3 linked regions of the Bombyx mori genome follow. The protein of the gene in region 3 interacts with the protein of the main gene of each other region in a biochemical or structural test. Links are inferred from orthologs where the notes say so. Each region holds a gene or a part of one and is shown on either strand. Other genes may lie near its edges.

The links.
Region 1: the proteins of Ter94 (region 3) and ubiquitin conjugation factor E4 B form a complex in vitro, tested with the Homo sapiens proteins (2 studies listed by BioGRID and IntAct). The link is inferred for Bombyx mori from reciprocal best matches to the Homo sapiens genes VCP and UBE4B.
Region 2: the proteins of Ter94 (region 3) and NEDD8 ultimate buster 1 form a complex in vitro, tested with the Homo sapiens proteins (2 studies listed by BioGRID). The link is inferred for Bombyx mori from reciprocal best matches to the Homo sapiens genes VCP and NUB1.

Annotation. Positions count from the first base shown.
Region 1 is NC_085109.1:10,812,142-10,816,214, forward strand, and holds the start of ubiquitin conjugation factor E4 B, read left to right. Parts: upstream 1-1,238; 5' UTR 1,239-1,451; coding exon 1,452-1,475; intron 1,476-1,619; coding exon 1,620-2,255; intron 2,256-2,323; coding exon 2,324-2,462; intron 2,463-2,722; coding exon 2,723-3,282; intron 3,283-4,073. UniProt on the Homo sapiens protein: Ubiquitin-protein ligase that probably functions as an E3 ligase in conjunction with specific E1 and E2 ligases. May also function as an E4 ligase mediating the assembly of polyubiquitin chains on substrates ubiquitinated by another E3 ubiquitin ligase.
Region 2 is NC_085120.1:2,113,249-2,117,518, reverse strand, and holds the start of NEDD8 ultimate buster 1, read right to left. Parts: upstream 2,836-4,270; 5' UTR 2,749-2,835; coding exon 2,623-2,748; intron 2,220-2,622; coding exon 1,960-2,219; intron 1,824-1,959; coding exon 1,723-1,823; intron 600-1,722; coding exon 478-599; intron 1-477. Other genes in the region: uncharacterized protein LOC101747105, read left to right, coding at 3,002-3,063, 3,478-3,521, 3,834-4,022. UniProt on the Homo sapiens protein: Specific down-regulator of the NEDD8 conjugation system. Recruits NEDD8, UBD, and their conjugates to the proteasome for degradation. Isoform 1 promotes the degradation of NEDD8 more efficiently than isoform 2.
Region 3 is NC_085125.1:11,209,086-11,213,207, reverse strand, and holds the start of Ter94 (transitional endoplasmic reticulum ATPase TER94), read left to right. Parts: upstream 1-1,320; 5' UTR 1,321-1,407; coding exon 1,408-1,424; intron 1,425-2,005; coding exon 2,006-2,111; intron 2,112-4,122. UniProt on the Homo sapiens protein: Necessary for the fragmentation of Golgi stacks during mitosis and for their reassembly after mitosis. Involved in the formation of the transitional endoplasmic reticulum (tER).

The sequences.
Region 1 (4,073 bases), on a different chromosome or scaffold from region 3:
ATATCTTATCCTTTAGGCTACGTCGACGTTAAAACAGACAGAAAAAAATTGTGGGGTTTAAATAGTGAGTTTTGAGTTTTAAACAGAATGTCTTCATGAGCTACGGTAACCACTCATCATCAAGTAGGCCGCATGATCGTCTATCTACAAGTACAGTAGAAAAATAGAAGAATACATATAAATAACGATACAGAATAACTATTCATGTTAATTCAAGACTAAATTACAAAAACCCAAAACTTCTTCATTTTAAGTTCAAAGAGTAAACAAAAATCGTTAAATGTAGACTTTTGTCATCATTAGATCAAATTATGGAATGTAATAATAAATTAATGGCCAAAAAATATCGTCAATAAATGGTGTTAAAATATGCTTATTATTGACTAGTATAAGATCATTTATACATTTACTATTATTAGAAAAAAAACCTACCTCTATTGGGACTAATAGGTATATCATTTTGTAAATCGTACTACCCTCAAAAAAGTTTTCTCAAAACAAGCAGAGACACGTAAAGAACTAAAAGAACTAACCAAATCCTGCCCCGAAAATTACCAGTCTCGCTATTGCTCTTTATAAATTCATAGTAACTATTCTTGCCACTTTTTCCCGTTTAAATTGACTTTTAGGCACTGCCTTTTTTATTTCACCTACCTACCTACTTACTTCCATGCAAAAAGTAAGTGACTGACTGGTATCAGTGAAGAGAAGTTGTGAATGTGATTTTTTTTATGAGTCAGGTTATTCTTTCTGGTTACTGTCCGTACGTACCTATTCATGGCAAATAACAGGATTTTGCAGCTCTGCAGGAAAACACTGCAGAGAATTGACTGAATTCATTTACTTAAAGGGAAAAGTTCGGAACAAATCATACGACTTACACATTTTTAAACACATTAATTTATTATTTTAAATTTTAATATTGCAATCACTTACACTACGTTATGCCGCAAAAATCAAATAAATGTTACACATATACAGATTTGCGTTTGTGTAAGAATTAAATATTCTACTCGGATTATTTTGAGCCATTGGCCGAGCAAAGGCTCAGCCCTCCAGGAAGGGTAATGCTAAAAGTAGGTAGGTATGAAAATTATTAAAAAAAACTTTAATTATATAGTACTAGAATGATTTTATTGCTAGGGTAACATTTTTACAGTGGGTGAATGTCATATTTGGTGCTATCTCTTTTTGTTTACGTTGTTTCAAATATCACAAAAAGAGACATACTCTTTATACTAATTCATCTACAAAGATGACGCGTGTATTTTCATTATTAACTTCGTCATTGTCATTGTGCACTGTGCAGCCTCAAACGTCAAACAGCTGAGCGAGGTGACTGACTCGTTGTGTGGCTTGTGCTTCTTTTTCTTAAAAATATTGAAAGAAAAATTAACGTAACAGAATAGGCCGAACAAATTAATAGAAAAATCTACTCTATAATTTTCATCATGAGTGAATTGAGCCAAGAGGAGGTAAGTCAAAATAATTTTTTTAAACGACCGTCTATTACTACGTATGGCCAATCTAATTTCGTAACAAAACAAAGCGTCAATGGTGAACGTCCCAGCAATTGTCATTTACTCACACGTGCTGCAAGATGTCAATATTCGTTACAGATACGAAGAAGACGCCTGGTTCGTCTCGCAGCTCTTAATAGTGCAGGATCAGTGCCTACTTCAGCTAGTCCTCCGGTAACCCCTGGCGCCTCAATTCCTTCTCCTGACCTACACAGTCCACAGCAACCCTTACGATTGTCCCCAGCTCCTTCAACTAGAAGCTCTACAGAACCCACCACTCCTGACACAGCGAATGCAAATCAAGAGCCCAATTACTCAGAAGAAGTCAGGTCAGATCAATCAGATCAAAATAAAATATCAGCAGACGGTTTAATTGTAACAGAAAAAACTGACAACAATATATTGGATGAAATGCCAGACACAAAAATGACAGATCTTACACAAACACGACAGTACAGTAGCTTTGACTCAATGGGTGATGACACATTGATAAGTTGTGGGTCTGTGAGAGTGGGAAGCTTACCGCAAAATACTGTTGCTGGTTCAGAAGGGAGTTCTACAAGGGAAGATAGCACATCAAGATCAATATCTCCACCACAGTTTGTTGAGCCATCACCTGTACGACCAAGACAAACAAATGCTTCACCAAGTTGTTCTCGTCGTTCTTTGTCAATGGAAGTAGATGATGTGTCTGAAAGAAATTCTCAATCTGAAGCTCAGCAAGAACCAATGGAGGTAGCAAAGAACCGAAAATCCAATGTAACTTGTTGTAAAATTGTTTCTAACCTATTGTGTAATTTAAGGTTGAAGATGATTCATCAGCATCTCCGGCACGTAAAATACATAGATCTCGAACTGTCAGTTGCACAGAGTTGACAGAAGAGCAATTACGCACCATTGTATCAAAGATTCTTCAAGTTTCATGGTCAGATGACAGTGCAGGTAAATTAATATATATTAATTAGGAATGAAAGGAAAGTTAATGTTTGGAAATAATCTTTCCTACCTAATTTGGAAACAATCCATAATATTTTGCAATAATAACAAAATTGTTATTTTTTTAAAACAGTTCTTTCAATTTAAAATTCTATGAAATCAAGATATGTTTTTTAAAGGATTCTAGAATAAAACTTGTCACATTTAATTTTTCTGTACTTAATACTTATACTTAATCTTATTAAAGAGAGAATATTTGTATGCAGGTGGGATTTTTGTGCCAACAGTAGCAGCATCGTTACTTGATAATCCAAAACTTTCTCTGACTGAGCTCATATCTGAAGCTTTAATGGATGTCATAATACAAATAGCAGATGGTGGTGATCCATTGAATCAAAAACTTACTGCAATTATTGAGACTTCAAAGAACTTGAATGAGGAGAATGGTGAGGACTCTTTGTCCAATTCAACAAGTGTAGAAACAGATGCGGATAAACCTGAATGCCCATCACCAGCCCTACCAATCCAGAAAACGATGCCCACACAAGGCTTAGTTGTTAGTTATTTACTTCAATTCTACAATAATGTAAACTCATATGAAAGAGAACACCCCAAGAAGAGTTCAGAACCACCTTTGAGTGATTTGCTCCAAAGTTTGAGAACTATACTGGTCAATCATTTGGTACTAGTGTTACAAGGAAGGTTCGAATTGGAAAAGTGCAGGAAATCACCATTATTACCTTACATATTGATTGGGAATGCACCAACGGGCCTCATCCCAGAATTACTGCTTGCTACATATCTTGATAAAGAAATATTTGATGAGGTAAGGACCTTTATAATGTAACTTATTTAACAAATATCTTGAATAATGGATAGTCCAGGCTTGCTGCGTTTGTTGTTTCACTGGTTGTTCTCAGTACTGTAATTCTTTTTGGAACCAGTGGTAGAGTTTACAAGTTTTGTTATTCAACAAGTATGTTATGATGACATTTAAATTGAAATATAAATTATTGATTTGAATGTTTACCAACATTTGATATTCAAGATTTCTTGCAATTGAATTAAATTCAACCAATTATTGGATTTGAAATAATGGTATATGTTTGTTTTTATCTAACAAACAACTACATTGATATAAATTGGTTTATATTCATTTATAAATAAACTTAGTTAACCAACCAGTACAGTAAGAACACAAATATGCTGTATTAAACCAAATAAAAAGTTGAAAAAAACTTCTAAATTTGAACCTACTCCAATAAACACATAACTATTGCATTATTAAATTATTATTGATTTGAAATTTGAATTTGAAACAAACATTGTATTTGACAGACAAATTAGCAAAAAGATAACTTATGTTTTATTATTTAATTATGAACTTATGCACATATGTTGGGTAATGTATCTGTTCATTGTGTGTCTGTCTTTATACAACCTGCACTCCGCAATCCTTTTATTAAAAGGACAACAAATATCTTCACTAATACACTACAATAAGTATTCCACTGCTTTTATTAGTATATTGTGGAATTAAATCACATTTTTAACTATCAAATTAACGAAATATACTTGAAATGTCTTAAGATTTGAAACACACCCAAGAGCAAAACT
Region 2 (4,270 bases), on a different chromosome or scaffold from region 3:
TTATCTTATATCTTTAAACGAGCAATTCTTGTATATAAATATATATATAATTTAAATCTCGGAAACGGCTCGAACGATTTTCATAAAATTTAGTATACAGGGGATTTCGGGGGCGATAAATCGAACTAGCTACGTTTTATTTTCAGAAAATGTTGTTTTATTCGTGTTTTCAACAATCAACTTTATCGATAATTTATTTACATAACCAGTTCATGTTTTATTATTATTCTGTCGGTAAGATCGAAAAATATTATTCCTATTTCATTATTTTATCAATTTGTAATTCGTATTTAAATATAATTGCTAAAAAACACAATTTATCAAAAAAAAAAAAAAACTCCAGGTCATCGAGGTACTGTTATTATATTATAAAAAAAATATTTATGTAATAATAAATATATTATTATACAAAAAAGTTTCGATCCGACGTCAAAACGCTGGGAAAGGTTGTTCTAGTGTTAATAGATAAAACATTACCTTTAAATACTCATCGTCGCCAGTCAACTCTTCGGCGCAATCGGTCAGCAGCAGAGCATCGTCACGTGTGGATTTCATCTCCATGTACATATCGTTTTCTTTCTTAACGTTCTCTGGGGCTTCTATATTATAGGGCATTCTAAGGTTACTAACAGTTTTTTTTTAATTCAGAAAATTTTATTTTTAGTTAAATCCGCTTGACCGTTTGACTGCTTGTACGGTGACCATCGCTAAATACAAATCTTATTCAATGATTTACACTCTTTCTTCAGTTAATTGAAACGCACGTACGGTTAGTGTTAGCAACGTCGTCAGGTTTGAGCCACGTGAGCTCACATACTTGTTAGGTTATGCTGACATAGGCTATCAGCTTAGGTAGGGAAAAAAACTATTCAAGATCTGGGTGTTTCTTCCTTATGCAAGTGTCAGCTGTTTAATTTGCAAGCCGTTCCCCTGACTGGTCCACAAAAAAATGTGTCATCTTTATGCCATTACAAATAGGGGAAAATCATGTTGAGACTGCTTGGGACAAGAACATTATAAAATAGTGACATCAGCTGGGTAACATAGATTTAGACAGTAAGTCATTTCAGCAAGACAGATCCACTCTCCACATCACACATGGGATAGCATGAGCAGTAAAAATTTTCAGACCATATGATCATAGCAAATTCTAACATCAACTGGCCACCAAATCAATATATTTTCAACTATTTTACGCCATACCTAATGAGAATGTGTCTACTTTACAATATGATATACAATTACAATTTACTCAAAAGATGTGTTAAAAAAATCATGATCTCTTTAAAGAGACATCCTAAACAAACTTTACAGAACATAACTATTAATATAGTTTTTTTCTATTGTCTTTGTAGGCAGTCAAACAAATCATCGACCTGAAGGTAGGCATACTCATAGGCATAAGCCATCTCTTTTTCTTTTTTAGGATGGAAGGATTACTGGTGGCCCAAAGGCCTTTCCGGTTTTACAGGACAGCTGGGAGAACTCAGACTCAGCTGGGAACCAGAAATGCTACTGGTAAAGCCAAGCTTCTGCCTAAAATATAATGTTTAACTCTTAATATTAAATCAGTTGCAAAGCTGTCATAAGTCCTGGATTGAAGGTTGGCATAGATGTTTACCAATGTAGTGAAAACCCTAATGGGCAGAGGCAATAGTGTTTTGATGTCAAAAATCAGCTTTAAGCCCTGATTAGTATAAAGGAAAAAATTATATTACTTACCTCCCATAATAAGTGCCATTATTTGTACTCCATTTTTTATATTCTGTTCATTGAGATTCATTGTCGGTTTTATAATTTTACCATTGCATATCAATTTTATTCTGAAAGAACGATAAATATATCAAGCTATGAAACTGATCCCTATTTAATCATACAGTAATGGGGTTGGAATGCCTTAAATGGCAAATATTGTGAGGAGCTATTCTTTGAGAAAAATTTCAGAGAGCATCAAATTACCTGTCAGTTCCAACACTAATCTCCTTAGCCACTGTTTCAATGAGATCACTGCCTGGCACTTCCAACTTCTTTTGAATTTTTAAGACTACAGGTTTTTGTCCTGATACATTAGCTTTCACCCTGAATGTAGCCAGTCCTGTCTCCTTGTACTCCGCATTTGCTTTGGATCGGTCAAGTGAATGCAGTTGTAATTCACGTAATGCAGAAAACACCGTTTCATCGTCTTGTAATAGCTGTGATGAGTATTTTAATGCTAGATCCTGTTAATTATAATAATAAAATATTGAAAATACAACTTTTTTTATTATGGTTCCTTTTAGTCTATGAAATTAACTCAGTATTTCGACTGTGATGTTTTTGTAGCTCTGCTATGAACACTGGTAACCAGTCTTTTTAGTTAAATAATACTAATCTCACTCGAGTTGTGTTCTATAACATTTTTCTTGTCTTGTTTGAAAACTAAGTCAAATCAACACACTGTATTGAAATAATTTATCAAGTGATATAGGCCGTTTTGTAAACTAAGTAAAATGTATTAAATCGAAAACAGTTCAGTATTAAAATACGTACAAATATAAATTAGTTTTAATTTATTAAAAACAACATACGGCACGTTTAAAGCCACATTTAAATTATAGAAAAAAATAAAAAAATAAAACGCACCCGCAAATTTTGAGAGCGATCGTTGTCAGCCTGATAATAAGGTGGTTCCCATAATTTAATCTTTTCTTCGTTCAGCTTAGCTCTTAATTTAATCAATAAATCTTCATGTTGAAGATTTAATTCCATTGTTTTGATATTTAAATAAGTATGCAAAAAATGAGATTGCAAAAATCAACACTTTGTCTTACATATCAATTGTCAATATGACGTTGACAGCTGACTTTTAGGGTTGAAAAACATCAACATGTTTGAGCAAACATTCTTAAAATATTCTGACTGCTAGCAACTTCGATCAACAATAGTGTTGATCGAAGGCTAGCAATTGAGCTCCCCACCCACCTAACATTAAGCGCTTACTAAAGTCCCTAAAGATGAAAATATGTTGATTAACTGTATTGCATCCGCCGTCCACATCACGTTTACGTTCAATGCAGAATGGCGGTAACTATCTGTACAAGCACAGAATACACTTTATCGTTCTTAAAACTTAATAATATGACTTATAGTACATAGCGGTGGCTACAAATAATTTAGTTCTAGTTTAAAATTAGCAAGATTACATTTCTAATTTGGGCAACACAAGTAACATTTCAATTGATGATATTGTGACTTAGCTTAACTAACGTATGTGATATTTTTATTTAAGGGAAAGTATATATAAAAGTTTGGGTATTTCAATTATAATCACATTCAATAAACAAACTGTACAGGTATATCTATAAATTTGTAGGTACAAACGTAATAATATTTCTAATTGCCCAAGTACTGCATTTCACACTACATTAAAATTTGAATTTAATGACATTTTCTATTAATATCAACCGTTTAATGCCACTTTCGTTACATATTTTCCAGTTTTGGACGAAGCACCATGATTATTCCTATGTTTTTTATATTTTGTGAGTCCTTTAATTTGTATTTTTGATATCCTCGGTATTCTTCGATTTTCCCGAGCTACAGATAAAAATAAAACTATTTTTATGGTATAATGTCGCGTTTATCACGACGTTTTGGACGAGCTCATGGCCCAGCTGTTGTTAGTTGGCTACCTGAACCCGTAGACATCTACAACCTAAATGCTCCCGCTCAACTGGAGAAATAGGTTTATTGGGAAATTGTTTGATCATAGCCTACTAGATAAAATCCATTTGTGGTGGAGCATTTCATTTTTTAAATGTTAATTGTTAGTTTGATTTATGTTTTCCCTCCAGCCCTTCTCATTAGGACAGAGTCGTACATCCTAATAACAGCTAATGTAGACGACGTGCAAGCTTTGGCTAAGCAGATCGTAGCTTCTCCTGTGGCTGGACAGTTGAGTAAGATGGTGCGCAGAGCAGCCAGTATCTTCAATAGGGAGTTCGGAAGGTACCCTAATTATCATCCTGGATACGATATTCAAGGTAATTTATTTTTAGTGCTCTCATGGGCAGGTTTACGTGGGACCCCCCTCATGGTACGTGGTCACAATCAGTCATGGACTACAACATTAGTGCTCTCAAAAATGTACCATTGGGTTTAGAATGAACTTCCTTTTTTATTGCTTAGGTGGACGAGCTCACAGTCCAACTGGTGTTTCGTGGTTACTGGAGCCCATAGACATGTACCACGTAAATGCGCCACCCACCTTTAGATATAATTTCTAAGGTCT
Region 3 (4,122 bases):
GTTTTGTGTCCAAAATCATAATTAGCTATCGGTAGTATGGCCAGCCTCTGATGCCAACCTCTATGGCGATCTTTGATTAAACCTCTATTTTTTTAATTTCGAAATTTATAATTCGCGTCTTAAATTACCCCAATTTTAAAGAATTTATAAATCCACTAGCTGACCCGGCAAACGTTGTGTTGCCTTAAATAAGATTTCTAGGGAAATTCTACTGTAGAAAAAAAAACCTCATTTAACCACATAATACCTCATTGTAAACAAAAAAAAATATCCAAAAAATTAAAATAAAAAATAAATGTTTGGGGTCGACAACCCTTTTCACTTAGGGGTTTGAAAAATAGATAGTAGCCGACTCTCAGACCTACTGAACATACTATTGATACACAAATAAAACCAAAAAAACATGGCTGAAAAATGTATAGTATTGTATAGCTCTCAAATATATTAAGTGTATAATCTATGATGTATAGTGAATAAGTAAGACAGGAGACCGGCTTCGTCTCATCCCTACTACGTGATGTTTGCTGGATGAGTGGTGACACCTGGCGGGGATAGCTGATCGATTGATAGTTGATCAGTAGTCGACCGGCGAGGGCGGGAGATCAAATTCAATTTAAAAAAAATCATAATTAAAGGAACTTGAAATTATAAACTCTGAATAAGAGTTTATCGTACTACAATTATAATATTTGATTGCCATCTTGCAACCTTATTGCGGATCTGTGCATAGAATAAAAAAAATATTGATCGGGATGGAAAAATAGGGGTTGATCGTATAAGAGTGAAAATTGAGAGTAATATAATTTTTTTTATTTTAAGTCATGACAAAATACAAACAAAATTCTCGCAAAAATTTTTAGAAGTTTTTAATTAGCAAATAAAAAATAAGGGTTGATCGTAGAGAGGTGAAAATTGAGGATTGTATGTATTTTTGTATGTTGTATCATAAAAAAATAGAAATGAAAAATTTTGTCTAAAAAATAAATAAAAAAATTTAGGGGTGGACTACCCCTAACATTTAGGGGGATGAAAAATAGATGTTGGCCGATTCTCATAGATACCGGATAAGCACAAAAAATTTCATCAAAATCGGTCAAGCCGTTTCGGAGGAGTATGGCAACGAAAACTGTGACACGAGAATTTTATATATTAGATTGAGACATTTTGCAACTCTGTGGTGGTAATCAATGATTGCAATCGAGAGATGGTTACAATCGATTAAAACTTGAAGAGTTAGTCAGAAATGGGTCTTTTAGTTATGGTATTATTTTCTATGGCAACACGAAGCTTATCGATGAACAAATGAAATACGGCAACGTCACGCTAGGATTGAAGTTCGCCAAGTAATTATTTGGCGTTATAAAAATTATAATAGTTCTTAGATTCTAACAATAAATTTTGAATAAAATGGCAGATAATAAAAGGTGAGTGCTAAATTATATTCGTCAAATATTCAAAACGGAGTTTCATGTAAAATTTACACGAAATCGGCGAAGTACATTGTGAATGCATTTCGAATTTGGCTTGTCATCATGTCGAGAATTAAACTTTTAAAGTGTAGTGATTTTTTTATTTTCATCAATGACCTACAACAGCAATTTTATTATTCTACAGCATTGTAACTTTCTAATGCAAGAGTACTTAGTTCTGAAAACAAGTTTGTTCTATTTAAGAGACGGTGAGATGACAAATTAACACAAAAGAATTTCGGCATTTTGAAATCATTCCTATAAAAATGAATGAAATTGAGCACCCGAACTCACCAAATTTTCGAAATATATGTTTAGAAATGTGTAATTAAGTGAAACATCATCCTCAGCACCAGTGATAATCAGTTTGAACTTATGTCCAAAAATCATTAAAAAATACCAATACCATTTTAAATACAAAAATCTTAATGAAAAGACATTAATCCTTCTACTTAAACCAAACAAAACCCAAGTATTTCTACTAGTGAGAAATAAATGTTAAACTGAAGAGTAGTCATAATTGTCTTGTATTCCAGCCCTGATGATTTATCGACCGCGATCCTCCGTCGCAAGGACAGACCCAACCGTCTCATTGTCGAAGAAGCAGTCAGCGATGACAACTCAGTCGTGGCACTTTCACAGGTCAGTGCTTTGTCTCTGGACAAGATGTTTGGTTCATTCACTAAACCTTAAATAGCAATATTAGTACTTTTGCTTTGAACAAAAAAAAAGTAAATTTCGTCTGTCATCCTAACCTTCAAATAATAAAATTAACATAAACATAACACATAAAGGTTTTTTTTTTCAAATCAAACAAACAAAAGAACATCCCTAAAACTATTGTTTTGTTAATAAAATACAGTATTTTGTAAGACGCATAGGCACCATGCAAAAAAAAAAAATGTAACTACTGTTTTTAATAATTTAACAATAAAGAACAATGATTAAAATGTCTCTGTCCTTCCCCATTAATCTATAGAAAAGAACGAACCTTTGTAACATAGTTTATATGATGCAAAATATCCATTGTTATAACCATCAGAGTTGAATAACCTTTTTATCTCTTTAGGTCAATAGTAAAGCTGTAAGACTACTTTTTTTATTTATTCATTGCAAAGATGGGTGAATGTCCTCACGGCCTATGTGAGGAGTCCATAGACATCATAATGTGAATGTGACACCAACCTCAGTTGCCTTGAAGCTGTAATTCATTTTGGTCCAAAGAGTAGATTGAGTGACTGTTATAACTGTAAAACTGAGACCAGTTTACCACTTAACATCAGATGGGTCCTGAGCTTGTCCATCCATCGTAGCAATAAAGAAAAGAAAGAAAAAAAACTGTATGACAATGGCCAACCTATCTGTCAAATTGGAATGCATGACTGCACTCAACCCAGGCTTATAATACCACCGGTAAACTGTTACTGTAGTAAACTGTTGTCCAGTGTTTTTCAACTGATTATTAAATTTATAAGGTCTATTCCAAGTTATGTGAACTTATGTATGTTATACTCCTCAGCTTAAATATTTTATAGGATTTTAGCAAATGAGATGTCAGTTGGTTGTTTATTTTTATTTTTTATTTATTTATTAGACACACAATATATAACTAAGTAAAAAATCTGGTAACACAAGCGCTAAGAAAAGACAAAATAAAAACACCTAATAAAAGTGATATGTCATATATTATTTCAACATAGTGTCTCTGACAAAATTAATAGAGGAATAATATTTATTCATTGTTTTTTATAATTAAAGATATCTCTTACCAAAAACATTATCTGTTTAAGTCTGTTTCCTGCATAGAATGAATTTATTTTACAGAATCAATTGACTAAAAAGTATGAAATAAAATTAGTTACCAAGTGGAATAAAAAACTCACTTTATTTAAAATAGGAACTTAGAAAAACCTGATCTATATTGTTGGTACTACCAACTACTGTTTTGTTTGTTACCAAGTTGGTAGTGACCATTAAGGAAAACTTTGGAGACTTTGATTTAAAAAATACTACAGTACAGTACAATAAACGAACAGTACCTAAAAATTCTGAAGGGGCTGAAGAAGATTTGTGAGTTTAAGCTTAGGGCTATATTATGAATGTGTTAATGCTTCTCAACGAAACTCAATATTTTCGGACTGGTTAAAAATATACGTGGTTCTCCTAACGAGGTTTATAGAGAGTCCTTAGTAGTGGGCAACGTCTTGGTTGTGGTTCTGGGATCACTGACTTCTATAAGCAACAGTAATTTCTCACCATTAGGTGGACCGAGTGATTGTTTGCCTACAAGGTCAATAAAAAAAAAACTTGTATTATCATTATAAAAAAATTACCATTTTGTTGTTTGATTGTCAATCAGATATTGACAGTAAAGTCCTGTATCCGTATTGCCTGTCAATAAAAGCTTATAATAAACAATGCCCTTCCGATGCTAACATATGCTTAGAATCTATCTACTGTGAATTTACGTAGGTTTCGCTAGAGTGCCTTTGATTACACATAAACATTTACATTGATTATACATAATCACAAATTAATACACAAATCACTACGTTTCTTTCTATCAGCCTGTGTGGCACCGAAATATCCAGCTTCTGAAAGATTGTACTTGAGTGATGTATCAAAACTGTTACTGCAAGTTTTACTAATGCAT